Oryctolagus cuniculus: one gene and its partners. The protein of the gene in region 2 interacts with the protein of the main gene of each other region in a pairwise test. Links are inferred from orthologs where the notes say so. Each region holds a gene or a part of one and is shown on either strand. Other genes may lie near its edges.

The links. The genes of interacting proteins can lie anywhere in the genome.
Region 1: the proteins of TRIP10 (region 2) and SH3BP1 interact in binary tests that used the Homo sapiens proteins (3 or more experiments, as listed by UniProt). The two-hybrid records come from large-scale screens. The link is inferred for Oryctolagus cuniculus from reciprocal best matches to the Homo sapiens genes TRIP10 and SH3BP1.
Region 3: the proteins of TRIP10 (region 2) and rho GTPase-activating protein 17 interact in binary tests that used the Homo sapiens proteins (3 or more experiments, as listed by UniProt). The link is inferred for Oryctolagus cuniculus from reciprocal best matches to the Homo sapiens genes TRIP10 and ARHGAP17.

What each region holds. Positions count from the first base shown.
Region 1 is NC_091442.1:114,516,923-114,527,074, forward strand, and holds the start of SH3BP1 (SH3 domain-binding protein 1), read left to right. Parts: upstream 1-4,109; 5' UTR 4,110-4,270; coding exon 4,271-4,329; intron 4,330-4,465; exon of another isoform or gene 4,466-4,607; intron 4,608-4,684; exon of another isoform or gene 4,685-5,061; intron 5,062-5,357; coding exon 5,358-5,400; intron 5,401-5,681; coding exon 5,682-5,786; intron 5,787-6,492; coding exon 6,493-6,569; intron 6,570-6,770; coding exon 6,771-6,882; intron 6,883-6,958; coding exon 6,959-7,035; intron 7,036-7,352; coding exon 7,353-7,497; intron 7,498-8,295; coding exon 8,296-8,364; intron 8,365-8,493; coding exon 8,494-8,584; intron 8,585-8,835; coding exon 8,836-8,981; intron 8,982-9,430; coding exon 9,431-9,542; intron 9,543-9,738; coding exon 9,739-9,820; intron 9,821-9,905; coding exon 9,906-9,986; intron 9,987-10,152. UniProt on the Homo sapiens protein: GTPase activating protein (GAP) which specifically converts GTP-bound Rho-type GTPases including RAC1 and CDC42 in their inactive GDP-bound form.
Region 2 is NC_091447.1:60,899,275-60,909,315, reverse strand, and holds the start of TRIP10 (cdc42-interacting protein 4), read right to left. Parts: upstream 6,767-10,041; 5' UTR 6,752-6,766; coding exon 6,395-6,751; exon of another isoform or gene 6,232-6,394; intron 6,125-6,231; exon of another isoform or gene 5,562-6,124; intron 5,346-5,561; exon of another isoform or gene 5,245-5,345; coding exon of another isoform or gene 5,221-5,244; intron 4,148-5,220; coding exon 4,032-4,147; intron 3,932-4,031; coding exon 3,875-3,931; intron 2,447-3,874; coding exon 2,299-2,446; intron 2,185-2,298; coding exon 2,122-2,184; intron 1,935-2,121; coding exon 1,830-1,934; intron 1,742-1,829; coding exon 1,613-1,741; intron 1,025-1,612; coding exon 878-1,024; intron 762-877; coding exon 567-761; intron 1-566. Other genes in the region: protein GPR108, read left to right, coding at 6,875-6,994, 7,561-7,680. UniProt on the Homo sapiens protein: Required for translocation of GLUT4 to the plasma membrane in response to insulin signaling. Required to coordinate membrane tubulation with reorganization of the actin cytoskeleton during endocytosis.
Region 3 is NC_091450.1:14,474,461-14,484,568, reverse strand, and holds the start of rho GTPase-activating protein 17, read right to left. Parts: upstream 6,044-10,108; 5' UTR 5,915-6,043; coding exon 5,862-5,914; intron 1-5,861. UniProt on the Homo sapiens protein: Rho GTPase-activating protein involved in the maintenance of tight junction by regulating the activity of CDC42, thereby playing a central role in apical polarity of epithelial cells.

The DNA.
Region 1 (10,152 bases), on a different chromosome or scaffold from region 2:
ACAGGCTCAAGAGCAGGTGTCCACTACGGGGTCACACTGCCCCTGCCTCCTGAGCCCCCACCCCCACCCACTGCTCCGTCAGCCCGGCCTGCCCTCCTCAGGGGCTGTGGTGAGGGGTGCACAGCCCCGGGGCTCCCTGGAAAGTCCCTGTAGCTTGGGGAGGGGAAAGTCAGTTCTCAGAGCTGCAGAAAGCAGGTGTGGGAGGGGTGGGGGGCGCCACTCAGCGGGCAGCACCGACGCGGCCACAAGCACGCAGTTCATCCCCGTGTCTAAAACGGGCTGTTTTTGCTACACCGCCTTGGCCACTGGCCACTGGCCACGCTGCCCACATCCCACTCCGGCTTCACCAGCAGGCACTACCCGGGGTGTCACAGGTTTTCCCAGGCAAATCTGAGGTCACTGGGCCCCTTGATGTAGCCACAGAGGTTGAGGCCGGCCAAGGGCAGCACCGCCGGAGTTCCCGGGCAGGGCACTTGGGCTCTGCGGGAGGCCAGCTGTGGGCTTTTGTGGGCCCGATGGGCTTTCCAAGTCAACCTGTAGCAGCCAGCCAGCCAGCCGGCCGGCCACCTCGGGCAGGAGCCTGGGATGGGCCCGGCAGGCATTCGGCCCAGCAGTTAGGACGCTGGTCGGTGCGCCACCTCCCGTCGGGAGATGCAGGCCCTGGGAGGCCGCAGCAGTGGCTCCAGTGGTTAAGTTCCTACCTCAACACCTGGATTGCATTCCCGCTTCCAGCCCCAGCCCCTGCCCCGGCCCAGCCCCTGCCCGGCCCCTGCCCCGGCCCTGGCCCCGGCCCCGGCCCAGCCCCTGCCCAGCCCCTGCCCGGCCCCTGCCCCTGCCCCGGCCCAGCCCCTGCCCCGGCCCAGCCCCTGCCCCGGCCCTGGCCCAGCCCCTGCCCCGGCCCAGCCCCTGCCCCGGCCCTGGCCCCAGCCACTGTGGGCGTTCGGAGAGTGACCCAGCAGACAGGCGAGCTCGCTCTCTCCACCCCCCCCAAATAAATGGGGCAATGACACCGCCTCACTGGAAGGTGTACCAGGGCACGTGACAATACGTTGCATGGTCCACCCACGGCAGCTGAGCACAGTAGGGGGTCACAGAGGCAGAACCGGGGTGAAGAGGTTTTCCATCCCTGACCTGGTGGACTGAATAATGATGGTAAACACTACCAGGCATTGTCCTCTTCTTTTTTAAAAAATATTTATTTGAAAGGCAGAATTACAGAGTGAGAGACTGAGCTTTCATCTGCTGGTTCATTCCTCAAATGCCCACGTGGCCAGGGACAACCCAGGCTGAAGCCAGAGGCCAGGAACTCCATGCTGGTCTCCCACGTGGATGCAGGGGCCCAAGCACTTGGGCTGCCACCTGCTGCTTTCCCAGGTGCATTAGCAGGGAGCTGGACCAGAAGTGGAGCAGCCGGGACTTGAACTGGTGCCCATATGGGATGCCGGCGCTGCAAGCAGCGGCTTTATCCATTATGCCACAGCGCCGGCCCTGCCAGCATGTTTCCGAGGACTGAGCTAGTTACTGCTGTGTTTCCATTTCACACAGGAGACACTGGGCCTCCGAGAGATGAGCTGGACCATCCCAGGCCACCCAGCTCACGAGAGGCTGACCCTGCGGCTGTGTCCATCTGCACCTGTCGGCCCTGTCCTAGCGGCCTGCAGGGTACAGTTGAGCGTCCATTGACGGTGCCGTCACCTGCCGTGACTGTCCGCTCCCCAGACCACGGCCCAGTGCAGGGGCCCAGGGGATTCACCGAGAGCCAGCTGAGCCCCAGGCAGGAGGCCCTGGAGGAAGGGCCCCGGGAGGCTCGGCAGGTGACCGCTCACGTCCCCCGTCTGCACGCACAGTTCTAAAACGCCAGGATCCCAGCACCAGTTGCCTGCAGCTTCTGAGTCCTCAAGATTCGCATTATAGCTGGGATCCAACCTCCCTGTCTGAGCAGGAAAGGCCCTGACTTGTCCCCAGTCCCCAGCCAAGTCACGCAGCAGCCCCACCCAGGTCACGCCCAGCAGAGCTGGGCGTGTCTCCTGCCCAGGACTCCTGGGTCTGGCTGGGGGGACCTCGGAGCAGGGGGACCTGGTCATGAGGCTCCAGCCCTTCCATGGCAGCTGCTGCGACAGCCCCAGAGGATGGATCCCATGCCGGACCAGAGCTCCAGAATTCAGCCTAGACAAGCTGGGGGGGGGGGGGGGGACACGGGTCCAAGTCTGGCCTCCGGGGACCTTCAGAGCAGCTGGGGAACTGCAGGGCCCGGGCCCAGTGTGGGCCAGAAGGGGAGGGCACAGTGAAGTCCACAGACTTGGAGGCGCAGGGAGGGGGGGGGCGGCGCCTGGCGTCTCCAGTGCCCTCACGCTGCACTCGGTAGGTTGTGCCCATGGCAGGGCCAGGGAAACGGGGCCACCTGGAAGTCTGGGGATTGACCAGTGGGGAAGGTGGAGAGGAGAGGACTGGAACCCACACGTTCCAAACTCCAGCTCACCACTTCAAGGAGCCAGGTCTAGTGGCTGCTCCACTTCCGATCCAGCTCCCTGCTAATGCGCCTGGGAAAAGCAGTGGAGAAGGGGCTGGTGCTGTGACATAGCAGGTAAAGCCTCCGCCTGCAGTGGCAGCATCCCATATAGGCACCGGTTCAAGTCCTGGCTGCTCCACTTTAGATCCAGCGCTCTGCTATGGCCTGGGAAAGCAGTAGAAGATGGCCCAAGTCCTTGGGCCCCTGCACCTGCATGGGAGACCCGGAAGAAGCTCCTGGTTCCTGGCTTCGGATCAGCGCAGCTCCAGCTATTGTGGCCAGTTGGGGAGTGAACCAGCAGATGGAAGATTCTCTCTCTCTGCCTCTCCTTCTCTCTGTGTGTAACTCTGACTTTCAAATAATAAATACATCTTTAATTAAAAAAAAAAAGAAAAGAAAAAGAAAGAAAACCAGTGGAGGATGGCTCAGGTGCTTGGGCCCCCCCGCCAGCTACGCGGGAGACCCAGATGAAGCTCCTGGCTCCTGGCTTTGGCTTGGCTTGGTCTTGACCATTCAGGGAGTGAACCAGTGGATGGAAAAATCTCTCTCCCTCTCTCTCTGTAACTCCAATGTTCAAGTAAATAAATCTTAACAAACAAGGAGGACCCCAGGGCGCTGGCGTTTCTCTCATTCCCCAAGCCCTGCCTTCTTTCTGGAACACCCCCCCACCCCCCTACCCCCGTCTCCTTGCGGGAAAGGGGAGGTGGGAGAGGGCCCTTCCTTGGCCCCTCCCACTTCCACCAGGTGGGCTTTAGCTTCTGGTTCCCCAATCAGAGGCTCTCACGGTGGGGGGGGGGGGAGCCCGCTCAAGTCTCCCCTCAGGGATGGGGGGGCACTGGGAATACAGAGGGGTCCGAAGGGCCCATTGGGGGAATCAGCACACAGTAGGTGCTCCAGTGGTTCCCCCCCCCGGGGGGCACCTGGGGCTCTTGTACTAACAGGCAGTTATGCAGCGCCTACTGCATGCCCAGCTCTGTTTTGGGGGGAGGGCCCGTCAGCCCCTGCTCCCTGTGGGCAGCAGCACCCACTTGGTTGCCTTTCAGAGAGGAAAGATGGAGCTGAGCCCCCCCACCTCCCCGGGGCGGAGAGAGGCAGGGCTCTGCAAGGGGAGGAGACTGTCCAGGCTGGGCCCATAGGTGTGGGGGCTGCAGGGGCGGGGTCTGTGCAGGCTCCCGCCCGAAAGGAGGCCGGGGAGCAGAAGCCTGGAGCTGGGAGGCTGGAGGAGTGGGTGGGCTCTCTGGTCCCTGCTGAGGGTCGGCTGGGCCAGGACAGTAGTTGGAGGCAGCCGGCCCAGGATCCCCCGGGTGCCCAAGCTCCCAGACAGGCCAGCGCTGGTCCCAAAGACCTGTCTCTCCTAAGCACGAGGCCCTCTTTACCCTTTAAGACAGGGGCAAAGGTCCCTTCTGCCCGGGGGCCCGCGGGCGGCAGGCGGCGGCCGGAGCCGGCTCACCTGCTCCCCGCCGCCCGCCGGGCGCGCGCGCCAGCACCACCTGTGGACGGCCGGGCGGGCGGGCGGGGGGCCCGGAAGCCTGGGGAGAGCGAGGAGGCGAACTCGGAGAGAGGAGTGACCTGGGGGCCGGGGCGGAGCCGCGAGTGGGGGAGGAGGCAGCCGGCGGCGGCGGCGGCGGCGGCGGCGGCAGCGGCGGCGAGCGAGCCCGTGGCCCAGGAAGCGAGCGCCGCGGCGGCCAGGCAGGCTGGGCTGGGGGCTGCCCGGGCCCTCGACCCCCCGAGCGCGACCCACAACCCGCCGCCGCCCCCAAGATGATGAAGCGGCAGCTGCACCGCATGCGGCAGCTGGCCCAGACGGGCAGCTTGGGACGGTGAGTGCCAGCCCCCGGCGGCGCCCACTCCCCGCCGCGGGACCCGAAGGGGCGTCGAGGGGCGCGTGTGGCGGGGGAGGCGGCTGGGCAGCGCTGTGGCCGGCCTGAGTCCTGCTCTTTTTCTCTCTCCCCGGAGCCACCCCACTTCCCAGGAGGAGCGGACTGGCCTTTGCGGGAAGGGGCGCCCCCGCGCCTGACTGGAGGGGCTCCCTGGGCAGAAGAGGCCGGCCCAGGGCGCTGGGACCGCTCTGCCTCCATGAGCCTCCCCGGCCTCCCAGGTCGGCTAGGACAGTGGCCACAGCGAAGCCCCTCTGCCGGCTGGAGGAAGGGGAGGGGTGGACGCGGGGGCCCCAGCCCTTGGGGGAGGGGAGGAGGCAGGGGCCTGGCCTGGCGGGAGGAGGGGCCTCCTTGCAGTGCCCCCTCCCCCGCCCCAGCTGCTTCTGCTTTTCCAGGCTCAGGTGGAAAACACACTCAGGTCCCCGGGTTCTCACCTCAGCCCGGAGCTGGTGGAGGGGAGGCCGGAAGTCCGGGGAGGCGCTGAGGGCCTGTCGCCGCCGCTCCTCTTCCCCCAGCCTCCAGAGTTCCCCATTCTGTGGGCCAGGGCAGGGGCTGGGTGTCCCCGGACCTGCTGTGGCCTCCCGCCAGCACAGACCCCAGTGCCTGCTGGGGACACAGCAGGGGCCCAGGGCCCGCCCTGGGCAGCCCTGCCTGCAGCTACAGTGCAGAGTCCCTGTGAGTGACAGCCCAGGCAGCAGCTCCGGCACTTCTTCTTGGGGGGCTGATGATGTGAGGGGTGGGCAGAGGAGAGCCGCCCCCTGCCCAGCCGGCGAGGACACGGCCCTGGGTGGAGGAAGGCCCGTGCCGCCCTGTGGAATGTGCTGCCCCTGGAATGTGCTCCGACTGGGATGAGGCTGCCGGGCCACCCAGGGTGGGCCCACCTGGGAGAGGCCCTGCACGCAGCTGGGGGGCAGGGGGAGGCAGGGGGCTTCCAAAACTGGGGGGGGTGCTGAGCTAAAGCTGTCCCGCAGCACGCCGGAGACAGCCGAGTTCCTGGGCGAGGACCTGCTGCAGGTACGTGCCTGGGCCGGCAGCGGGTGGGAAGACAAGCCCACGCAGGCTGTCAGAGCCAGGGCAGGGCGGGGACACCAGCTGGGGACCCAGGTTGAGTCATTCCCCAACTCTGCTGGCCACCAGATCCCCAGGAGGAGGGAACTGAAGGTGGCTCCAGCTCCTGGTTGCGGCTGGGGGTGGGGATGTCGTGGCATAACAGCCTCCCATAATCCTCCACCCCTGCCTCCCCACACACACCCCTGCCTCCCCACACACACCCCTGCCTCCCCACACCCCCCCAGGTGGAGCAGCGGCTGGAGCCCGCCAAGCGTGCTGCCCACAATGTGCACAAACGGCTGCAGGCGTGTTTGCAAGGCCAGAGTGGGGCGGACATGGACAAGAGAGTGGTGAGGGTCCCAGCGGGCAGGGGCTGAGCTCCGAGGGGGCCCCGGGCTTCCCTGCCAGTGGGAGCCGCTGGCACCGAGGGCCTGGCGACTGCCCTGTCCCGAGGCCCTGTGTCTTCCCCGTGCCTTTCCTGACGCTGCCTCCTTCTGCATGGCTCCCCACCCTCTGCAGTCTGCCTGTGCTCCGTGGGGCAGCCCGCGAGGGCTTCCTGGAGGAAGTGGCATTGGGGCTGGATCTTGAGGGATGCTCGCTGATTCCTGCTAGGCCGTCGCTAAGACGCATGCATGCCTGGCCGCGCTGAGCGCTGGCAAGGCCCTAGAGGAGGAAGTGGGGGCTCACGGCGAGTTGCTTGCCCGGACCCCAAAGCTGGGGCTCCCATGCCTTCAGGGGGGTCGGGGGAGCGCATGTGTGGGACTCCGTGTGGCCAGGACACCGTGGGCAGGCGGCCTTGGAGGGTGTGAGCCAGGCTCCTCCAACCCTGTGACCTGAGCAGGCTTCGTGCCCTCTGCCAGCCTGGGAGAGCTCGGCCCCTCCTTCTTGTCCAGGGCCCTCCCCTTGCCACCGTGTCTGGGGTCACCCAGGGACTCATCTGTGGCTGTGGCCCTCCTGGGCTCCCTCGTCCCCTGTCCCGGGGCTGACCCAATGGCTCGGACAGGGGGGTGGGAGTCCAGCTGTCAGGCTCACGGCCGTCTGCCCCGCCCCCTGCAGAAGAAGCTTCCTCTCATGGCTTTGTCCACCACGATGGCCGAGAGCTTCAAGGAGCTGGACCCTGACTCCAGCATGGGGTGAGCTCACGACGCAGTCGGGCTGGGAGGGGGCCCCTCTGGTGGGGACAGTGACAGTGTGGGGGTCAGGGAGGGTGGCCAGGCCTGGGAGGGCGTTGGGCCTGGTGGGATTGGCGGAGAGCTGGGAGGGGTGCCCCCTGAGCATTTGCAGATGGACGCGGGGCCCGGCGAGCCTGGGCCCACTGGGCGCTCCGTCCCCAGGAAAGCCTTGGAGATGAGCTGTGCCATCCAGAACCAGCTGGCCCGCATCCTGGCTGAGTTCGAGATGACGCTGGAGAGGGATGTCCTGCAGCCACTCAGCAGGCTGAGTGAGGTGACTGAGCCCCCGCGCCCGCGGCCCCTCGCGCCCCCTCCTCCTGCCCACTGAGCCCTCCCCACATCCGCCCCAGGAGGAGCTGCCGGCCATCCTCAAGCACAAGAAGAGCCTGCAGAAGCTCGTGTCGGACTGGAACGCCCTCAAGAGCAGGTGCGCGCCTCCGCCGCCGGGGCGGGGGGAGGGGCCGCACCAGGTCACGCCACAGGGCTGGCCACGGAGCTGGAGGCCCTTGCCACAGGGGGAGGATGCTGCAGGGCCCGCACGTGTGATGCGGTACATGCACGTGACAGCTGTGGTGACCCCGAAGCTTAGGGGAGCTGTAAACAGTCCCCACCAGATCCCTGGATGGCTGTAGTTACCAAAGGCGCCACCAGGGAGCGCCCCCGCGCCCCCGTGGCCAGGGAGCTCTGAGGTCTGCAGCCCCGCTGGACAAGCCAGTGACCGCCCCACCTCGGGGTCTTCCCCAGGCTCAGCCAGGCAGCCAAGAACTCAGGTAGCAGTCAAGGGCTGGGCGGCGGCCCGAGCAGCCACAGCCACACCACGGCAGCCAACAAGGTGGAGACACTGAAGGAGGAGGAGGAGGAGCTGAAGAGGAGGGTGCAGCAATGCAAGGTGGGTGCGGGGTGTGGCACAGGGGCCTCCCGGGGGGGGGGGAGGGTGCGGGGGGATTCTCTGGGGGGTGAGGGTGCGGGGGGATTCTCTGGGGGGTGAGGGTGCGGGGGGTTCCCTGGGGGTGAGAGTGCGGGGGGGTTCCCTGGGGGGTGAGGGTGCGGTGGGGTTCCCTGGGGGTGAGGGTGCGGGGGCTCCCAGGATGGTGAGGGTGCAGGGGGTTCCCTGGGGGTGAGGGTGCAGGGGCTCCCTGGGGGGTGAGGGTGCGGGGGTGGGTTCTGTCCCTGACTCAGGGGGGCAGAAATGGGCTCAGAGAGGTGACGTGACTTGCTCAAGGCTACTGAGCTGGGGGGGCAGCAGAGCTGGGGTTTGAACCCTGGCAGCCAGGCTCCAGGGTCTGCATTCTTGGCCCTGACCTTGGAACTGCCTCTGTCTATACCGCGGGCACAGCTGTCTCTGTCTATACCACATGCACAATCTCTGTCTACACCCCTTGCATAGCCGCCTCTGTCTACACCGCGGCCATGCCCCCCGGGAGGCGGGTGCATTTGATGAGTGCGTGAGTGAGCAAAGAGTGAGGATGGGGCGCTGTGCTAAGGAGGTGGAGACACAGAGATGGGGCTGAGAGGCTGAAGCCCCCAGGAGCTGCAGGGGTTTCTTGAGCCGGTCCCAAGCACAAACCTCCGCTGAGGGCGGCCAGCTGGCTGGGACCGCAAGTGCAGCTGTGTGGCCTGGGGTGGGTCACGGACCCCTGCCGGCCCCCCACTCACTGGGTGGGCTTCCCCCTGCTCTGTCCCCAAGGACGAGTACCTGGCCGACCTGTACCACTTTGCCACCAAGGAGGACTCCTACGCCAACTACTTCATTCAGGTGACCCCAGGACCGCGCCGTGGCCGCGCGCAGCTGAGGGGCCGGGTGCCCGAGCCCTGGGGCGGCGGCAGGGAGAACGGGGCCGCAGCTGTCCTCACTGCCCCTGGGGGTGGCCCTTTGTCCCCACAGCTCCTGGAGATTCAAGCTGATTACCACCGCAGGTCGCTGAGCTCCCTGGACACAGCCCTGTCTGAGCTGAGGGAGAACCACAGCCAAGCAGGTGGGGGTGGCCCCGCCCCGGGGAGCCACGGAGGAGCTGGGAGTGGGGGAGGCCTGGGCGTGACTTTGATGGCGAGGTCGCTTCTGCTGCTGTGGGGGTGAGGGGAGCAAGGGAGCAGGACCAGAGCCAGAGCTGGGAGGTGGAGCGGGGAGGTGGCGGCCAGGCCTAGGGCAGACACGGGGGTCGGGTGTGGGGAGAGTGTGTGTCTGGGGTGGGCGGCCCCGGGCCTCTGATCTGTCTCGTCCCTGCAGACCCCTCCCCCTCGATGACGGCCGCCCCCTTCTCCAGGGTGTATGGGGTGTCGCTGGGGACGCACCTGCAGGAGCTGGGCCGCGCCATCGCCCTGCCCATCGAGGCCTGCGTCCTGATGCTGCTCTCGGAGGGCATGAAGGAGGAGGTGGGGCCCCTGGGGCCCTCGTGCCGTCCCCTGTCCCAGCAGAAGGCATGGCCTCCTGGCGCTGAGCCGACCCTGTCCCCGTGCCCGGCTGGGCCAGGCACCACGCTGTGGGCCCTTTGCATTCCTGGCTCCCCTTAGTGACCCCACTGACCTCAGGGCTCTGTTTTATAAGGAAGGACGGAGGCAGAGGGAAATCGGCCCAAGTGGCTCGTGAGAACCCTGAGCCATGGCTGCTGCGCGCTGGCCCCTGCCTGTCCCCTGGCTCACCTCCTGAGGCCAGGACAGAGCCCAGGCCCCTTCCTCCCCGCCGTGTCCCGCCATCCTCCCCAGCCCCCACCCTTTGCCCCAAGTTCTGCTGGACCTTGGGAGTTGAGGGCGCCCACAGATTGGGGGCGCCGCTGAGCCTGCCTCGCGCCCCCCATGACCCCCTCTTGTCCTCTCGCACTCAGGGCCTCTTCCGGCTGGCCGCCGGGGCCTCCGTGCTAAAGCGGCTCAAGCAGACCATGGCTTCAGACCCGGGCAGCCTGGAGGAGTTCTGTTCCGACCCCCACGCCGTGGCAGGTGCCCGATGCTGGGGGGTGTGGGGGGCGGGGCACAGCTGCCTGAAAGGATCCCCGTGAACTCCCTGCTCCCCGGGCCGGGATAAAACCCTCACTTTCCCAAAAGCACCCGTGACCCAAAGAAACTCAGACCTGGCTCCATGCAAGCCAGGGCCGGAGTCAGGCTGGGCACTGACCCGCCCCCGTCCCCACGGCAGGTGCCCTCAAGTCCTACCTGCGGGAGCTGCCAGAGCCCCTGATGACCTTTGACCTCTATGACGATTGGATGAGGGCAGCGAGGTGAGGCCGCGGGGAAGGGGCAGCGGGAAGCAGGTGATGCCGGGGCCTGGCCGGGGCTGGCTCACCTGCTCTCTCTGCCCCTCAGCCTGAAGGAGCCGGGCGCGCGGCTGGAGGCCCTGCAGGAGGTGTGCGGCCGCCTGCCCCGTGACAACCGAAACAACCTCAGGTGAGCCTGCCGCTGCGGCCTGAGCCGTGTCTTGTGCCGTGCTGACGCGGGGACAAGCAGCCCCTGGGACCCTTGGAGCCACCTGCCACCTCGGCCTGGGAGGCCGGAGGGCGCCCAGCCCAGCCCAGCCCGCCAAGTGGCTCCGCCCCCCCCTTGTTGGCAGCTC
Region 2 (10,041 bases):
GGTGGAGGGGGGCGGGCAGCCAGAGGCCCGCAGGTGTCCGTGGAGTGGGGGTGGTCTCCAAGGAGAAATCAAAAGCAGTATCGGATGAAGGGACCCCAGGTCGGCCGAGAGGGAGCATTGTCAAAGGCACGGACTAGGAGTGTCCAGGTGTATGCCCAACACCGAAAGCCAAAACACCCAAGGGGGAAAAAGAGCATCGGACGTGGTGGCCCAGGGAGCCACCAGGACATTGGAGGAAACCCCGGGGGGCTTCTAGGAGGTGGTGTCTCAAGCCCTCGGGCCAGCCCTGAACTCCACAAGCAGGTCTTCTCCTCCCATTCTGAGAACAGCAGGCAGACGCCACAGGCTGCCCCTGCTACACACACACACACACACACACACACACACACTGGTCCCCCCAGCCTCCGGGGACTCCCAGGCTGATGGGCCCGCCCGCTCGCCTTCCTTCCCTCCAGCCCGGGCCAGCAGCCAAGAGGAAAATTCCTGCCCGGGACTCGGCGTTCAGGCAGCTGGGGCTGAGTCAGTGGGGGCCCCCCTTGTCCCCACTCACGGGCCCCGGCCCCCACCTTGCTCTTCTTGCCGAAGGGCCAGCGCTTGGCCCGGCTGCGGCCAGGGCCGCGGAGCTCCGGCCGCCCGTCCGCGGGGGTGCCCAGGCTGCTGTCCGAGGGCGCGCGGTTCATGGGCTGGCTGAAGTCTTCAAATTCTACATCGCCAGGGCGGGCAAAGCCAGACTTGTGCAGCTCTATGAGGACCTGTGAGTCCTGGGGGAAGGGACGGGGGGGGGGGGGGAGGCAGTCAGGGGAGGGGCTGGAGGACGCGCCTCTTCTCCTCCCCTGTGCCCGGCTCTCGGCCCATGGGACCCAGATGAGGCACCCACATTCTTGGCGTCCACGGCTTCGGCAGCCACCTTCATGCCTTCCAAGCACTTGGCAATGATGGGTACCACCTGCAGCTCAGCCTCAGACAGGAGCCCGTACCCGGCGCCCAGGCGGGAGGCGCGGCGTTCATCCATGTCCTGCAGCTTCTGGAAGGGGCAGAGGTGGCCTGGGTGACTCACTCAGCAAACACGGGGATGCTCCTCGCGCTGGCCCCAGCCCCAAGCCCGGTCTGGTGGAAAAGACCCAGATGCAACCAGATTCCCACCCGATGCAGTTCAGGGAGAGACACAAGGCCGGTGGGGGCACAGGGTGGGGAGGGGGGGCATCTCAGAGGATGCCCCTTGCCTAGGGAGCCGGGAAAGCCTCCCCACTCCAGCCAGGCAAGGAGTGGCAGTGGGAAACGGAGCAGAGCTAGACCCAGCAAAGACCCTCCCAGGGCCAGGAGTAGCCTTCGAGAAGACAGGGTTAAACTCGAGCCTTCTCGGAGGGATCGGAAGAGCTGGGGCTTCGAAAGGATGAGCAGGAGTTCCCAAAGGACAGAGAAACATCTGTGGCACACAGGAGTCACTGGAGCAGAAAGCACACCGGTCCTTCCTGCATGTCTGGCTCCCTTGCAATCCCGGAGTTGGGGAACCGGGCAGCTGGGGTTTTGACGTATGAGTAAGAGTTGGGTTTTTTGTTGTTTTGTTCGTTTTTTTTTTTTTAAGGAAGGCGTGGGAGCCTGGGGCACTCACGTCGAATATCTGGGGCATCTGTGAGAAATAGAAGTGGGCCTGGTCGCGGTTGAACCGCTGCAGCTGGGCCGCGTACTCGTTCTTGCTCTCCTCGGCCATGTGACTGCGCAGGTGCGCTTGCTGCTTGGCCTGAAGGGCGGGGCGGGCAGGCGTCAGGGGCCTCCGCCCCATCCAGATGCCCGGAGTCCGGGGCCGGGCTCCGCGCATGCGCACGCACCTTCTCCACGTCCGCCTTGGTAGCGTTGATGTCTTGGTCCAGGCGCTCCGCGGTCTGAGCCGCCTTCTCCGCCTCGCGGCAGTCTCGCTCGAATTTGCGCTTGCTCTGCACAAGGGACGGAAGCGGAGTGAAGGAGCTGCCTGTCCCCAAGATGGGGGTCACTGAGCACAGTGGGGGACACGCCTGGGGCGGGGGGCGGGGGGCGGGGGGGACAGGCAGTCGCGGCCAGGCAGGGAGGGCAGCTCGGGCCACTGCCTCCGGAGCCGCGGCCCCCGCCAGCCGGCACACTCACATTCTCCAGCTGCTTGAAGCCGGTTTCCAGCTGCTGCTGGGCCCGCCGGCCCTCCTGGAAGTGCTAGGGGGAGAGGAGCCGCGAGAGACTTTTACCAGGGTCCTCCCGAAGCCCCACCCCGGCCCCCCGGCCCCCCGGCCCCCGGCCCCGGCCAGACCCAGGGCGCGGAGCCCTCACCATCTTCCTCTCCTGCCTCATCTCCTGCGAGTACTTGGCCAGTTCGAGACACACGCGCAACCCGAGGTTCTCGGCCACCAGCTCCCGCTGGCCCGCAAAGTCATTCACCTCCTGCAGAATCTGCACAAAGGACTGTTGCTGGCTGAACCTGGGAGACGTGGGGGAGGCGGGGACAGGGAGTCAGAGCCCCACCCCCGGACTCCCCACCACCACCTCCAGGTGGGATAAAGCCCCCAAGACACCCATCCCGAAGCAGTGGCAAGTTCTGGTCCACATCCCTCACGCGCTACCGGGGAGTGAGGTGCACTGCGGAACTGGGAGATTTTCGAGTCTTCGAAAGGAGAGGCACAGGTTTTGGAACTTGTGTGCATTGCCCCAGTGGGGCTGGGGCTGCACCCTGACTAATCGCCCTTTGTGGAGGTATTAATGGTGACAGCATCAGAATCCCCCGGGGTAGAGGGGAGGGCAATGCCTCCAGGACCCCGGGAGGATCCAAAATCCTCACTAGCAACAGGCTAAGGCGCTCCCTGGGCCGCTGGCATTCCACATCAGAGTGCATGAGCTCAAATCCCAGGTCCACTTCTGATTCCAGCTTCCTGGGAATGCGCACCCTGGGAGACAGCAGTGATGGCCCTGCCGGCCACGTGGGAGACCCAGCCTGGCTGTCCCCGGCAGATGGAAGAGATCTCTCTCTCTAGCCCCTCCCCCCAAAGTCCTGGCTGTTGTAGACATGTGCAGTATAAACCCAGCAGATAGAGATCTCGTGCTTGCTTTCCTGTAAATAATCAATGTATTTTTTTTTTTTTGGACAGGCAGAGTTAGAAAGTGAGAGAGAGAGACAGAGAGAAAGGTCTTCCTACTGTTGGTTCACCCCCTCAAGTGGCCACTACGGCTGGCGCTGCACCGATCCAAAGCCAGGAGCCAGGTGCTTCCTCCTGGTCTCCCATGCATTCTAAAAAGTAAGCTGCATAGTGTTCTCGGCTACCTCGCCCCCTCCTGTACACCTTAAATCACCTGTAGCTGACATAGCCTCCTAGACAAGGTGAGTGCTACACTGTATCATTTAGGGACTAGCAGCACAGGGGTGGGACTGCGCATGTTCAGTGCACAGGTGATTTTGAAAATTCAAGTATTTTGAGACACAGTGCCCAGGGAAGGCTGCATTTACACCCAGCGAGATAAAGCCACCATAATCTCGCCTCACCTACGTTGGAGGTGGCTAGCAGCTCACCAAACACACTGCTGATGCCCAGAACTTTTTGGATTTTGCAGTGAGGAACTCAGAATAAAGTCAAGCGCTCCCGGGACAGTTAGGACAGGCAGGGGACCGCGGTCCTGAGTCCTGGGCAAACTCCCCTCAGCCTCACCTGAGCAGAACAGGACAAGTGGCTCCGTTCCCACGCCCACTTCTCAGATGAGGAAAACTGAGGCCCCAAAGCCGCAGGCCCAAGGTCACTCACTCTACAAGTGCTCGGGCCTCCCCGTGTAACAGGTAGGAAAGACAGAAGCCGAGCCAGGGAACCCCGCGCGGCCCCCCCACCGGCAGCCTAGCCCCGTGCCCCGGCCCCAGCCTCACTTGGATTCGGGGTCATCCTTGGGAAGCCTCTTGGGCAGGTACTTTTTCACCAGGTTCCTAAGGGGAGACAGAGGCGGGATGACTGAGCGCCCTGAGCCGCGGCCGCCCCCTACCCGGCCCGGCCGGGCCACGGGGTCTCCAGCCCTCCGGGTCTCACCGCAGCTGCTTGGCGTACGCCTGCTCCACCTCGGCGCGCTCCTTGACGAACTTTACGTATCGGTCCAGCAAGTCCAGCCCCCACTGCGTGTGGCGTTCCAGGACCTCGAACTGATCCTGGCGGGGGGGAGGGGACGGCAGGGCCCGGGTCGCGACCTAGGGACTTCGCGGCGCGCCCGGCTCCAGGGCCCCCGCGCTCGGCGGAGGAGGGGCTTCCAGGCACCGCCCCGGAGTGGCGCGGGGGCCGGCAGGAAACTGGCGGGAACCCCCTCCCCTTCCCGGGAAAGGGCCCCAGCCGGACGACGGGGTCTCCGTCTCCGAGCGGCCGAGAGGGGCGTGGAGCGGGGCGAGGCCACTCCCCTGCACAACCGTCCACCCCCCCGCCCCGCGCGCGCCCGGCTCCCCTAATCCCCCCCAGATTCCGGAAAATCCGGCCTGCCCGGCGTGAGTCAGGGCAGGGATCCCTGGCCGCTAGCTGGGGGCCCGCAGGGCCCGGGGGCAGGCCCCGAGCGCCCCCCGCCGCACCCCACGCGCGCCTCCATCTCCCCACGGGCTCCCGGAGAAGAGCCGACGGTGCGGGACCAGGGTGCGGGCGGAGACGCAGGCACTCGCCGCTCCCGGAGAGGGGAGGGGTCTTAGGTCCGGCCCGGACCTGGAGCGACCCTGGGGCTTCCCGGGCCCGGGGAGGGCAGGGTTGGAAGATCGCTGGGGCCCGGGCTCGCAGCCCCCTCCCCCTCCGAGGGCGCCCTCAGCCTCCCGGGCGCTCCTGGGAGGTGGGCGGCCCTGGCGGGGCCCACGTGGGACACGGGACGGCCAGCCGGACAGGCGGGCGGCGGGCAGGGACCCAGGGGCCGTAAGATAAGCCGCGGGCCGCGCCGGGACGCCCAAAATAGGTGACCTCGCCCGGCCGCCCCGGCCTGGCCTGGGGACTCCGGCCCGTCGCGCTCGCGGCCCCGTGCCTCAGTTTCCCCGGGCCGCCCTGCGAGGTGGGTTTTCGCCCCCCGCCGCGGGGGTTCCGTGACGCCCCCCAGAAACTCGTTGCGTCGGTGGCGCCCAGAGACCCTCGGCTCGGTGCGAGGGGAAGCGCGGAGGCCCCCCCGCAGCCCCCGCTGGGGTCCGCTGGGGACAAAAGGGGAGGGGGAGTCCGAACCCGAGCAGACGGAACTTGGAGAGGCGCCGATCGGACTCACCCACAACTCGGTGCCCCAATCCATGCTGCTCCCGCCGCCGCCGGCGCCGCCGCCCGCCACCCTCCGCCCCGAGACTCGGCCCGGGGCGGCGCGCCGACCCCGCCCCGCCCGCCCCGGACACGCCCACCCGGCTGGGACACGCCCCCGCTCGCTTTTCCCCGCCCCCTGCCCTGCGCGGAGACCGCGGGCGGGGCCCGGGGAGGCGGGGCCCAAAGGGCGCCACGCCCCCTCTTAAAAGGACCCCCGCCCATTTTCAAATCCCCGAGGGCCCCTCTCCACCCACCACGCCCCTCCCCCGCCCCAGACGGGCCTTTCCTTTCGATCGTTCCTTAAAGGACCCGGACAGGAAAAGCCCCAAGCCCGAGAAGTCGTCCCTGCACGGTGCTGCAGGCAGAACCCGAGGTCACCCCGGCCCGGCTCCAGGCGTGGACGTTCGTCCCACTAATGGTCAGGTCCCTCCGGCCGCAGGGCGGATGGAGGACTTCGATCCTGCCAGGTCCATTAGCGCCCCCACCGCATCCTGCCTTCCCTCCCCAGGGGAACCCGAGGACGGGCTGTCCTTGGGACGCGGGGCCCAGGCTTTTCCCTCCGGCCCGAGTCTGCCTGCACCTGCCCACTGTCCAGCTTCGCCCACCGAGGCCCCCGAGAGTCCCGGACGCCCGCGCCCTCCCCCCCCTAGAAGGGTCCGCATCTCGTAAGTCCCCTCGAGGCGCCAGGATAAAAGGGAGCGGCCCTGCGGGCCCCCGGCCCCCAGCTCCTGCCTTCTCTGGAGCTGCAGGGGTGGGGTCTGGGCCCCAGAGGGACCGGAGGGCGCAGGGACACCTGCCGGCGGCTGCACCCGGTGGGTTGGTTTCGCGGCTCCGTGTGAGACCGGGGCTCGGCTCTGGTGGGACACCCAGCCCAGGTCAGCACCACGGTTGGGGCGGGGGTCTCAGCCCCAAAGGCTGGGCGGGGCGGGGCGGGGCGGGGGAAGAGCCAAGGTTTTAGGCTGAACTCGGGGTCCGGCTGCAGCTAGGGGAAACCGTCGGGGATCCGGAGTGAGCCTCCAGTGTCCTCGTGCGGAGGCGGAGGCGGAGGTCATAGGTCACAGGTCATCCTCGGGTCGCGATGTAACCTCCGTGGACCAGGAAGATTAGGAGAACGGGACAGGCCTCAACAGACTGCGTGTGTTTACCAAGAGCCAGAGCTCTGGCCGGGAGCCACGTCCCACAGGGTGAGAAGCGGAAGTCCGACCTTGGGGCGTGCTGGGAAATGTAGTTTCTGGGTGCTCGGTGGCCCTCGTCTGTTCCTGGCTGCATTCTGGGTAGTGTAGTCTTAGACCGTTAAGAGTTAGGTGGAGGAATTCCGCTTCAAGAGCAGGATGCCAGCTGCGCTCTAATTGGTTAGGCGGACTGCTTATCATGCTATATCCGGGACGATCTTTCTGGTGATTGGTGAGCGTGGGGGCGGGGCTACGTGGTATCACGTCTTCCATTCGGAACTGGTGCTGTCCGTCTGGTGTCACGTAGGCGCGGGTTTGAGAAGAGGCCATCGATGATTGGTTCAACGGGCTGGAAAGTCCGGAGAGCCTGGCCCCACCGTGCGGCGATTGGCTCCCCCGGAGGCGGGCCTGGGGGCGTCAGAGGCGGTGTCAGGGGAGGCGGCAGCTCCAGAGATGGCAGGGAGCGAGAGGAGGGGGCTCGGCCGCGGGAGCCCCGCGGAGTGGGGGCAGGGGCTCCTGCTGCTGCTGCTGTGGGGCAGCTGCTCCGGGCGCATCCACCGGCTGGCGCTGACGGTGAGGCCCGCCGCGGGACGGTCGGGGGCGGGGGGCGCGAGGCTGTCCCAGAGAAGCCCCCGGCTTAAGTGGTCTCGTCCGACCTCCCCCGCACCTTCTGCGGGATGGAGCGGCCCGGCGCCCCCCACTGCCGGGCGAGTGGTCCCGTCCCGAGATCCCCCTCTCTCCCTGCGGATGGAGCTGCCTGGCCGGCCCCGCCGGGATGGTGGGGGGCGGGGGGCGCCATCTCCTGGGACCCCCCCCTCCCCCGGCTCTTAGCCCTTTAAATTCCTGTGGCCGCTTTGGAGACGCTGGGGAGCCCTGGCGCCGCTCGAGGACCGAGGGGGTGGGGGTCCCTGGACGCTGCCTGGGGTCCCGGGCTCGTTCCGCAGCGGGGGGCGTCCAGGCGCCCCCCGATTGTCCTCCTGGACGCTCAGGTCCGCGCTCAGGGCATCCAGGGCCACGCTGTCCTCGGTCCCCCGGCACGGCCTCTCCTGACTCGCTCCCGGGCTGTCTAAGCACTGGGGCCCAGAGCCCCGTGGCAGGCGGGAAGCGGAAGTCTGAGCTGCCTCCCTGGTCTCCGGCAGGGGGAGAAGCGAGCGGACATCCAGCTGAACAGCTTCGGCTTCTACACCAACGGCTCCCTGGAGGTGGAGCTGAGCCTCCTGCGGCTGGGCCTGGAGGAGACGGGAGAGAGGTCCCCGCTGGTGAGGAGCTTGCCCGAGGAGGAAGCAGGTGCCACGCTCCAGAGCACGCCTGGCATGCACACACGCCAACACAGCCCCCAAGGCACGCACACACGCCAACACGCACCAGCACAGCCCACCAAGCCACATACACACACCAGTATGCACACACACGCTAACACAGCCCCCAAGTCACGTACACATGCCAACACAGCCCCCAAGGCACATACACACACCAACACGCACATATACGCCAACACAGCCCCAAGTCACGTACATACGCCAATACACACACACACCAGCACAGCCCCCAAGACACGCACACACACCAACACGCACCAGCACAGCCCACCAAGCCACATGCACACACCAACATGCACACACACGCCAACACAGCCCCCAAGTCACGCACACACGCCAACACAGCCCCCAAGGCACGCACACACGCCAACACGCACCAGCACAGCCCACCAAGCCACATACACACGCCAACACGCACATATACGCCAACACAGCCCACCAAGCCACATACACACGCCAATATGCACACACACGCCAACACAGCCCCCAAGGCACGCACACACACCAACACGCACCAGCACAGCCCACCAAGCCACATACACACACCAACATGCACACACACGCCAACACAGCCCCCAAGTCACGTACACATGCCAACACAGCCCCCAAGGCACATACACACACCAACACGCACATATACGCCAACACAGCCCCAAGTCACGTACATACGCCAATACACACACACACCAGCACAGCCCCCAAGGCACACACACACGCCAACACGCACCAACACAGCCCACCAAGCCACATACACACGCCAATATGCACACACACGCCAACACAGCCCCCAAGTCACGCACACACGCCAACACAGCCCCCAAGGCACGCACACACACCAACACAGCCCCCAAGGCACACACACACGCCAACACACACACATACGCCAACACAGCCCCCAAGTCACATACACACGCCAACACAGCCCCCAAGTCACGCAACACGCACCAGCACAGCCCACCAAGCCACATACACACGCCAATATGCACACACATGCCAACACAGCCCCCAAGTCACGCACACACGCCAACACAGCCCCCAAGGCACGCACACACACCAACACAGCCCCCAAGGCACACACACATGCCAACACACACACATACGCCAACACAGCCCCCAAGTCACATACACACGCCAATATGCACACACATGCCAACACAGCCCCCAAGTCATGCACACACGCTAGCATGCACCAGCACAGCCCACCAAGCCACATACACACACCAATATGCACACACACACTAACACAGCCCCCAAGTCACGCACACACGCCAACACGCACCAACACAGCCCACCAAGCCACATACACACACATGTCAACACATGCCAACACACACACCAATACACACACCAACAAAGCCCCCAAGTCACATACACACACCAACACACACATCCCCACAGACCAACACGCACACATGTCAACACAGCCCCCAAGTCACGCACACACGCCAACATGCACACACATGCCAACACACACCAACACAGCCAAGTCAAATATACATGCCAACATGCACACACACCCCAACATGCACACACACCCAGCTCACACAGCCTGCCATGCACACACACACCAACACATACCTGCCTAACCACATACACACCAACACACACACACCCAACTCACATATACATGCCAACACACATACCTGCCAACACACACACCAACACAGCCCCCAAGTCACATACACACGCTAACACACACACACATGCCAATACACACCAACACAGCCCCCAAGTCACATATACAGCCCAACACATACACACATGCCAACATGCACACCCCCACAGACCAACACACACACACGCCAACACACACACACCCAACTCACATACACAGCCCACCATGCACACACACAACACATACCTCTCTGAACACATACACACCAACACACACCCCTAATTCATGTACACATGCCAACACACACACAACACAGCCCTCCAACTCACACATACCAACACACACTCAACATACATATGCACACACAAAACCAGCACACAATACCAACACCCCCCAGCTCACATACACAGCCCAACATGCACACACACACCAACACACACACTCAACATATTGAGATACATATATCAACACACACACCCCAACACCAATACACACAACCCAACACCTGCACACACCAACAAACACACCAGCATACACAGTCCAATGCACATATGCACATGCACGCACACACATCAACACAGCCACACACATGTGCACACACACGTGCACACACACAGAGTGCCGATCTTGAGCGAGTCCCTTGGCCTCTTTGAGACTGCACCGGCTGCTAGACTGTAAGAACGGGG
Region 3 (10,108 bases), on a different chromosome or scaffold from region 2:
TACATCACAATCTGTGACCCCTGCTTGTACATCATAATTCACGACTGCCCCTTATACATCATAATTCACGACCTCCCCTGGTACATCACAATTGTGGTTTCCAACCATTTGGGTATGAGAAACATTATCTAAAGTAAAATAATTATGCAAACTCAACAGGTCTATTACTAAAAGCAGGGCAGATCCGCAATCTCTACTCAGCATTTTAAATCCAAAACACTCCAAAAACAAGTTTGTTTGTAACTCACTTGGCAACAACACTTGACCTGAACTGACATGAGGCTATTTATAAGCTTTATGTTTCCATTTAGTGTGGCTAGATTCATACATTTCACTATAAAATTAACAGTATGTTTGACTGCTGGTGTGCCCCAGGCCCATTGAAGATACCATTGATGACCATCATTACTCTGCCAACACCTGAAAATTTCAGAATTCTAAAGTTCATTGGCCCCAAAGGTTTCAGATTAGGGACTGTGAATTTACTTTTTTTAAGAAATGTATTTGAAAGAGGTACAGAGAGAGAGGGAGAGACAGAGAGACACACAGATCTTCCATCCACTGGTTCACTTTCCAGAGGGCCACAACAGCCGGCACCAAGTCAAGCCAAAGCCAGGAGCCATGAACTTCATCTGGGTCTCCCACGTGGGTGGCAGGGATCCAAACACTTGGGCCATGTCTTGCTGCTTTCCCAGGCCAATAGCAGAGAGCTGGAAGGGAAGTGGAGCAGCCAGGATCTAACCGGTGCTAGCATGGGATGCTGGCGTTGCAGGCAGCAGTCCCTGTGAATTTACTTTTTTTTTTTTTTCCTTCTTTTTTTTAATTTTTTTTGACAGGCAGAGTAGACAGTGAGAGAGAGAGACAGAGAGAAAGGTCTTCCTGTGCTGTTGGTTCACCCCACAATGGCTGCTGCAGCCGGGGCGCTGCAGCAAGCACACCGCGCTGATCCGATGGCAGGAGCCAGGTGCTTCTCCTGGTCTCCCATGGGGTGCAGGGCCCAAGGACTTGGGCCATCCTCCACTGCACTCCCGGGCCACAGCAGAGAGCTGCCCTCGAAGAGGGGCAACCGGGACAGAATCTGGCATCCTGAATGGAACTAGAACCCGGTGTGCCAGCGCTGCAGGCGGAAGATTAGCCTAGTGAGCCGCAGCGCTGGCCCCCTGTGAATTTACTTTTAATAACTACATTTAAGTAAACAATACACACAAACAATTTGGGGTGTAACCATATTCTGAAAGGGATCTGTAGCTGATTAAGTACTACAGCATCTACCTGTATTTGAGAAAGAGAAGGACGCACACAAAACAACCGTGATCCGACAGAACTCACGGTGCACACACTGACTCTGGGGCCCCAGGTCAAACCCTCCAGGTTTAACTAAAAACCTCAGACGCAGGGCAAGTTCACAACACAAGGGCACTCTGAGAGGTTCACAGACAAGGAGAATTAAAAGATAATGTGCATTTCCCACAAAGTTTGTGATTCACAAAGGATGATGCCAACATGATCACATCCTTTCACATCTGGTTTTTTTCCCAACTCATCTAGAAATACTCTTGATATTCTAGGATTTCACAACATACATGTAACAACAAGGCCATGGCAGATCAGACTAAAAAGACATTGCAAAGATGCAGGGCCGCTTTCCACCCCAACTCAATGCAGACGCTGGATGGAACGCCTGGTCCAGAAGCAGAGCACACCTACCTGTCCACTCTGAGAAATACTGCTTGGGGCTGGTGCTGTGGCACAGCAGGTTAACACCCTGGCCTGAAGTGCCGGCATCCCATATGAGTACCGGTTCGAGTCCCGGCTGCTCTACTTCCAATCCAGCTTTCTACTATGGCCACAGCTGGCCACATGTGGCCTCAAAGCATTTTGTTTAGTTCCGTGTACAAGGGGTCTTCACACTGTAGGAAAACTATGCCTGGATTTCTAAACAGCTTTGTAACAAAATGAGCTTAACTTTTAATTCCATTTTGGCACAAGGTCTTGAAGAACCCCTGTAGCATCATGGGGGTTGCTGAATTTGAAACGAATGCCCGCCTATCGTTCACTGAAGTCCAGATTTCAAGGTTTTCTTGAAAACACCAAAGATCAGGGCACACAGGGTCCACATTCCTACCTGGCTCACAGCAGACATTGATTTTACTAGCCTGGCCCTCCAGGCATTTGGGTTTCTAACCTTGGCTTATCTAAAGACAACCATCTGGAAAAGCATTCCGAGTTCCAGGGGAAACTGGTCACTGCGGAATCAATACCCAGGGAGATGCTCCCTCCCGGAGCCTGGGTACTGTGCCCTCTTAGTTCCATCCCTCAGATTCCTCCGTTCCTTGACACCTCCCATAACACCAAGCTCCTGGTCCTGGTGTACACCTTCCCCATTTAAGATGTGGCCTGCCCGAGAGCACCATCCGTGTCCACCGGATCGCCTTCATTAAAGGTTTTCAAGAAACAAAACATCTCTTGTTCATTCCAGCAGGACTGCAGAACACACTGTATGATGTCCATGCTTGCCTGACCCACACACATTCTCCCCTTTGGCCGGTAACAGCACCCAGTTTACCCTGGGGAGGCAGCACTCCTCTACCCTCAGTCCATAGGGCTGGGGTGGGGCTGACACCATTCCATTTCCAGGCAAAGCCTATGACTCAAAGGCATTCAGAGCCAATCCTGGGATTCTGGCGACAGGGACCAGGAGAAAAATATTCTTTCCCTCTGTGACTTCAACTGAGGACAATGGGAGACTGTCGGGGGCAGGGGGTCTCCCTGTGGACACTGCCTAGTAAGGAGTGGAACTCTCTGGCTCCAGCGAACTATGAAGCCACACTACTCTTGGTCTCCTTTGGTCATTTATGTGCCCATTTCTATCTTTGGTCAAGGCACCTGAATTGGATTTCCTTCCACCCAAAGAGACACAGTCAGTACAAGAAAAACCTGAAAGTGCTTAAAGATGGAGGAAAAATCAAAGGCTCTGCTCATACTTTCTCCTCTGGAAAACTTGGGCGACCTCAGTCCACCCAGTCACAGCTAGGTTTTGCCCTCTGCATCGGCCTTGCACTTATCTCCTGGACATAATTATGTTCTGCTTCCCTATCTCCTCTACAAATCTACTGAGCTCCTTCAGGGCAGAAACCAGGCATTCACCCTTATTCTTTAATGTACAAGGGGGAACAGTCTGGGCTGACAAGCTCCTGTTGAATGCCTCAATCAACAAAGGCAGTGGACTAGAAGAACCACCCACGTCTCCTCTTTGGGACACCACATCAGGACCCCAGCTCCCAAGCTTTGCCCCGATGATCCACTAGACCATCTTCTCGCACAGTCTCACCCACCCATCGTAAACAAATTGCATCATGAGTACTCACTCGTCCAGGCATTACTAACTCTCCACACGTCCATCCCAAGGAGCCCCACTGTGGGGTTAGTCACAAGGTCTCCATGCTAGGGAGAAGACTTCATTGCAAGACACCACCAACCAAGGGGCATGCCACTCACATGTAGAGCTTCCTTCTCCACCCAGATCATGAAGGGCGGAGGGGGGGTGCGGGATCTTCTAGGCTTCTAGCCTTCATCTTTACCCAAATACATTCAGGATCCTGATTCTGATACACACCATCCATCTGCTTCCAAGAACTAGGCATTCGGGGGCTCTCTCCTGCTTCCATTTTTTTTCTTTCCTAGTTTTTTGTGATGATGTTAAGTGGAAAAAAAATACAAAAATATCTAGGAAATCAGCAAGTAAGAAATGCAACAGGTTCCTCAGTGTAGACAGATGTTCTGACTTTGGGTGCATAAACACCACACCCTTAATAGCTCTGCAATAGCTGCAGCTTCCACTGGCATCTAGCAATAAAGATTTTCAAACAAAGTCAAAGATCAGATCCAGAATTACACTTCCAGCATGAATCACCCCTCTATTTAGTTCACCGTTTCCCATACTGGAGCCCACACCACCAGGGCAATCCAGTAAGAACCAGAATCCTGGAGTTAACAGCGTTCAATGAGCATCTATCATGTGGCAGGACCCATAGCTGACCCTGGGCATGAAAGGCAACACAGCAAGGACTCTCAAGGTGTTCAGTGTCACCGAGAGCACAGACAGGGGGAAACCAGGTTACAGAAAAGCAGGGGTGCAGGGGAATAGGAAACACCCGGGACGGAAGGCTTCCAGAGGCACAGAGACCTCTAAAGGAAGACTTGAAGACTGAGGTGGCCACAGGCAAGGTGTGGTGAGACAGACTTCCCAGAGTTCCAGGTCAGAAATGAAGAAAGCACGGCCTCCCCTAGAAACTGAAAGCAGGCAAGCTAGGCTGGAATTTAAAGTGTGAGAGGAGAAGCCTAAGAGGAAGCAGGAACTAGAGACCCTAAATGGCTTTATAGACCCAGAGCTCTCAGAACTTTGCCTGGAAACAGCAAACTTTCCTTGCCTGACACAACAATGTAAAAAAAAAAAAAAAAAAAAAAAAACAGCCAAAGTGACCATCTAAGCACTGAGCAGTAATTCTAGACTGCACGAATGCAGGCACCAAACTCACAAGGACTTCTATCATTCACTTGCAGATCCTTGCTTGAAACTTCAGCCCCTATTACTACTCACGTCCACCTTCCTCCTGCCATTATTTCTTTAATTTTCCCACAGATAACAGCAAAGGAGCCTTGGCCACACGTCAGGAGCAGGGATTAACTCTCCAAACGGGAGAAAGGCCCACCAAAGACACCACGGCAGGGCAAGGAAAGAAAAAGGACAAAACTAAGCAAAACGTTGAAGGAAACGAAACAGTGTAAAAAGCAAATTTAGAAAACTCAAGAGGAAGTAAAAGTATTTTCACAGACACACAGAAAAAGAAGTGTCCCACGTGCTGCAGCCAAACCAAACTCCCCTTTACTGTTTAAAAGAAAAAAAAAAAAAGGAGAAGCTGCAGCAAGAGCTGTGAAAAATTCACACTTTCATATCTCTTCGCAGAATAAACAGTAAATTGGGTTACAGCACAGCCCAGCTGCCCTGGAAGTCCTTGAAATGCTTGGCCCAGCCGATAGCGCTCATGGTAACCACCTCTGAGAAGTTCTCCAAACCACAAATCATTCCTGCTCCGACATCCTGTTCACCCACGCACTCCAGCTCACTTTTGTCACTTAATAATCAATAACGATTCTGCTTAAGCGTGACAGCAGCACCAAAGAGCCACGGATGAGCAAGCATCCGTCTCCAATTCCAAGGGGGAAGACTGTGTCACGGGCACAAGGTGTCTCCAAAAATCCTTTTCCTCCCAACCCCGGATTTCTAAATGTCAAGAACTTGCAGCCGCTCTCAAAGTTCCTATCTAAGCCCAGGGTTGGAGACAGCAGCACCTCCGAATGTCCCGAGCAAATCCGAGCGGCTTTCATCAGCCTTTAGCTACCCTCCGGCCACCGTGCACTTGCAGGAGAAGGGGCTGGGGAGGGGCTGGCAAGGCAAGTCCCCTCTGCACAGCGCTGGGCACAGAAAGGGACGGGGGAGGTTCAGCACGAGGCGGCGAGCCCGGGCAGACTCGACCCCCGAAGAGGGAAGCTAAGGATCGGGTCTACTAGTCCCGCAAGGGCAACGCTGCTCCGGGCCGGGACAATGAGCAGCCCGCAGCCCCGAGGGGTGGCCCTGGAGGAGGCAGCGGGCCGCCCGGCTCGTCTCGGGGGAGCCGCCCGGAGCTCGCTCGGCGCCCAGGCCCCGGCGCGGCACAGCCCCCCGACTCCGAGCTCCGCGGGGCCCCGGGCGGGGCTCTTGAGGCCGCTCGGGAAGCCGCTGGGCCCGAGGAGGGGCCGCCCGCCCCCAACCCCGAGGCGACCCCGGCCCGCCCCGGCCCGCCCCGGCCCGGCGCACTCGCCTGCCCACGGTCTGGTTGGCCAGCTGCTTCATGCGGTTGAACTGCTTCTTCATGGCGGCGGCGGCAGCCCGCGGGGCTCGGGCCGGGCGAAGCAGGGGACGGCCTGGCGGCTCCTACATCGCTTCCCGGCCCAGGCGGCGGCGGCGGCGGCGGCGGCGGCGGCTTCCCCGGCCCGGCCCCGCCTTCGCCGCGTCACTTCCAGCGGCGCCGCCCGCCCGCCCGCCCGCCTGCCCGTGAGGAGGCCGAGCCGAGCCAGGCCGAACCAGGGAGGAGAGCGAGCGAGGGCCCGGGCGCCGGCCCTGGGAGCCTCGGCCGCCCCGCCGGGGCCCCTCACCGCGCCACCACCGCTCTAGTCGCTTTCGGTCCCTGAACCCGCGCCTCGTGTGGCGCCCCAGCTCGGTGCCCTTATGGTTAGCTGATCGATAGATCGATACGGTCCGGTGGGGTTCGATCATTTCAAACCCACCACCCTGAGGAGACCGCGAACAACGGACACAGGACAACACACGAGTAAATCACTAACACCGGCCCTAACTCCAAGATGTGGGCTAGTCCCGGGACGGAAACAGCCGATGGCCTCCCATGCGCCAGGCTTGTGCGCGGGTGTAGACCTCTTTCAGTACGCTCTGAAGGTACCGCTCAGATGGCTGTGTTTCACCGTGGGAAAACCTTCCTTCCATTCAACAAATGATTGTGGGGTGAAAATAACAAGGTTGCGGAACACCAATGTTGCGACTCAGTGCAATAATGAAAAGGGGAACGGTGACATGTATTACTCCTTACAAACATTTTTTTGTATTTATTTGAAAGGCAGAGCAGAGAGCGAGCGAGCGAGTAAGGCTCGCATCTGCTAAGGGTTCGCTCCCCAAAAGCCTGCTACAGCCAGAACAGGGCCAGGCAGGCGGAAGCCAGGAGGCAGGCACTCGGTCCCTTCTCCCACGTGGGCGGCAGGGGTCTGGCGGCCTCCCTACTGCGCATGGGCAGGAAATTGGGCTCTGGAGGGGGTCCTAGACTCCACCCAGAGGCTTGGATGTGGAATGTGGGTATTCCGAGCCGGGGGAGGGGGCGACAGACCGGCCAGCCCCTGTATTTTTTATACCGGGGCTCGCACACGCTCTGGGAAAGATCCTTTATTTGGGGGCTTTTCGCGGTGTGGTGCCGGCAGCGCCTGGCGCTGGGGAGCAGGGGCCAAGGGCCGACGGCGCCAGCAGGCTTTGGGGGGACGGGGCGGAGGCCGGTGGGCGCGGCCTGGGCTCTCCGGGCAAGGCCCTGTGATGGAGAATAAGGCCCATTGTGGTTCTGCCCTATATAAGCCCCCAGCGCGCGCTGGGGCGGCGACACTTGGCGGGACTGTCCGACTGCCCTGGACGCTTTCCCGAAGCGACCCAGGTCAGTTCTGTGACCCGCAGCAATGTCCTCGTGGCTTGGTGGCCTTGGCTCCGGCTTAGGCCTCTCCCTGAGGCACGTGAAAGACAACGTGGCTTCCCTCGGGAGCCAATTATCGGACGTTACAAAGGGGGTGCTGAGGAAGGGTGTGGAATCCTTGCAAGATGAGAGGCTAAGAAGTCTCTGCAGAGAGCTGGAAGAAAAGTACCAGGCAGCAGAGCTGAGGAACCACCTGCAGGCCACCCAGTACCAACGCACCTTACAAGAGAAAGAGGCTGAAATCCAGCTTCTCCAGGCAAGGCAGCTGGCGCTAGAGAGCCAACTGGAGAAACAACAGGCCCAGCAACTGAAATCCACCAGGGACATGCAAGAGCTGGAAGACAGAGTGCAAGATCTGAACATCAAGGTATCTGCTGCCGAAAATACAGAGAATGTCTTGAGACAAGAACTAGACCTAATTAATGAGAAAGCAAGACAGAGGGAACGTGCACCTAGTGAGCTGCTCAAGGCTCTCGCCAGTCTGCTGTCTGAGGTCTCTCAGCTGACGGTCATCAACGGTTTTCTGGAGGAGGAGATAAAACATCATCAAGAGGTGACAGAGGTGGAGACGCAGGGCACGGACTCTGCGGCAGCTGCGTCCATTGACACCAAAGGCGCTCTTCATCCTCGGCAACACCTCCTAGTGTACACCTGGGAGAGAGAGCAAGTACTCTCCGTTGGCAAGGACTGGGCTGGAGAATACAGCTGGCTGAGAAAGGAGTATCTCCTAGGCTCTCTAGAGAGTCTCCAAGAACACAGCCTCTCACAGCATCGAGAGAAGTACACGGAAGACCGGGCAGGGCGAGCCAGAAGGCCAGCCCAAAGTATCCAACACGAGTCCCTGGAGCTTCGAAAGGCATTGAGACAGCTTTCCACACCATCTGTGACAGACAGAGAGGACGACGACACTCACTTGGCCCAACCTGAAATGAGCAAACACCAAGAGATGGCTTCTCAGATAGAACACCTGAAGAAGAAGCTAGACTTTTTACAAAGACTGGTGACAGGCAAGGGCCTTTTCATTAAAGCCAAAAATGACCAACTGCGCTCTCTGAAGAACCACCTTGCAAACAAAGTGAGAAAAAACACGACTCTGAGGCAAGCGGTGAGGAGCCTAGAAGAAAGCAAGTCAGCGCTAGAAATGGAGGTCTACAAACTGCGCCAAGAGAAGGAGGACGCAGTGGACACAGCCAGGACCAAGGAGAAGGCTTTACAGGACTCGAACCTGAACCTTCAGATGCAGCTCCAGGAGCGGGACTTTCACTGCTACGCAGTGAAGGAGAAGCTGAAGCAGAAAGAGCGAACAGCACAGCAGCTCGTCCGTGTGCTCCAGTCCATCCCGGAGAAGCTGCTGGCATTCGAGCGCAAGCAAGATGCGGTGCTGTTGGCGCTGCAGCAGACGCACGCGGAAGAGCGAGCCCTGCAGCGCAAGAGTCAACATCTACAGGACAAGTTACTCCAGGAGCTGCGGGGAGTGCTCGGCCATCTTCTCCCATCTGCAGGTGCTGAGGTCCCTGAGACAGCCGATGAGGAAGGTGGACGGGCTGGCATGGGATCCCCGGGAGCCCCGAGAAGCCCCACGGGGGCCTGGCTGCCGCAGCCAGCCCTGGTCACCATCCCCGCCACCAGCACCACGGGCAAGGGCCTCCCAGGGCTGGCACCTGCAGGCGACAAGAAGATCATCGCCAGGAAGGTTTTGGGCACCGTAAAATGGTTCAACGTCAAAATGGGATATGGCTTCATCCACAGGCACGACAGCAAGGAAGACGTGTTCGTCCACCACACGGCCATCACCAAGAACAACCCGAGGAAGTACCTCCGCAGTGTGGGAGACGGCGAGACGGTGGAGCTGGACGTGGTGGAGGGCATGAAGGGTGCCGAGGCGGCAAACGTGACGGGCCCCGGGGGAGCTCCCGTGCAAGGCAGTCAGTACGCGCCGGAGCGCGGCCATTACGGACGCTACCCGCGGCGGAGGCGCGCTGGGCGCCATGACCGCGACAGCGACAGCGACAGCGAGGGGTCGCAGAGCGCTGCCGAGAGCCAGACCCGAGCACGCTGGCCCCGAGGGCTGCTGTGCCCTCGCTGCCTGAGGGGAGCCCCCGGGCGCGGACGAGCGCAGCGCCCCCAGCCTCCCGTGCAACCCGAGGGGGCGCGCACGGCCCGGCCTCGCCCCAGCCGGCCCGCGGAGGACGCCCCAGGTCTGCAGCCGCCTGACCGCCACAGCGGTGACGCACGCGGGCCCCCTGACGCCTCCAAACCCCGCGACGGCCAGGAGACCCGAGCCGCCTGTCCAGCCGCCGAGAAGCCGGGCGCCGCCCAGGCTGAGTGACTGCGGGCGCCACGCCGCCGCCGCCGCCGTCGTCCGCCATCGCCATCCAACAACGAACGGACGTGGAACTCCGGCGCATGGAGCGAGCGGCATAGTACAGCCCGAACTCTCACTATGTTTTTTCCTTTTTGTTTTTCTCTTTCTCTTTCTTCTTTATCTCTTTCTTTTTCTTTTCTTTTTGTCAGTTGACCAGATTACTAGAACTATTTCCATTCTCTATGCGGCACGCGGTGTTTATTATTTTTAGCTAAAGATCTTTTTTTTTTCAAATTCTCGTTTTTCTCAAGTATACCTTTTAAGGTTTGAAAATTATTTCAGATCTGTTCAAGTTGAGATTTTTAATAACTGTCTTTAATCTGTAAGAAAAGTTTACAACTTGACTTTTTTCCCAAAAAAAGTCAACAAACTGAAGCACCTGTTCATAAAGGTCTTAACAGGAAAAAAAAAAAAGTGATACTGACTCCACTAGCCAAGTTCTCATATTGGAGGAAAA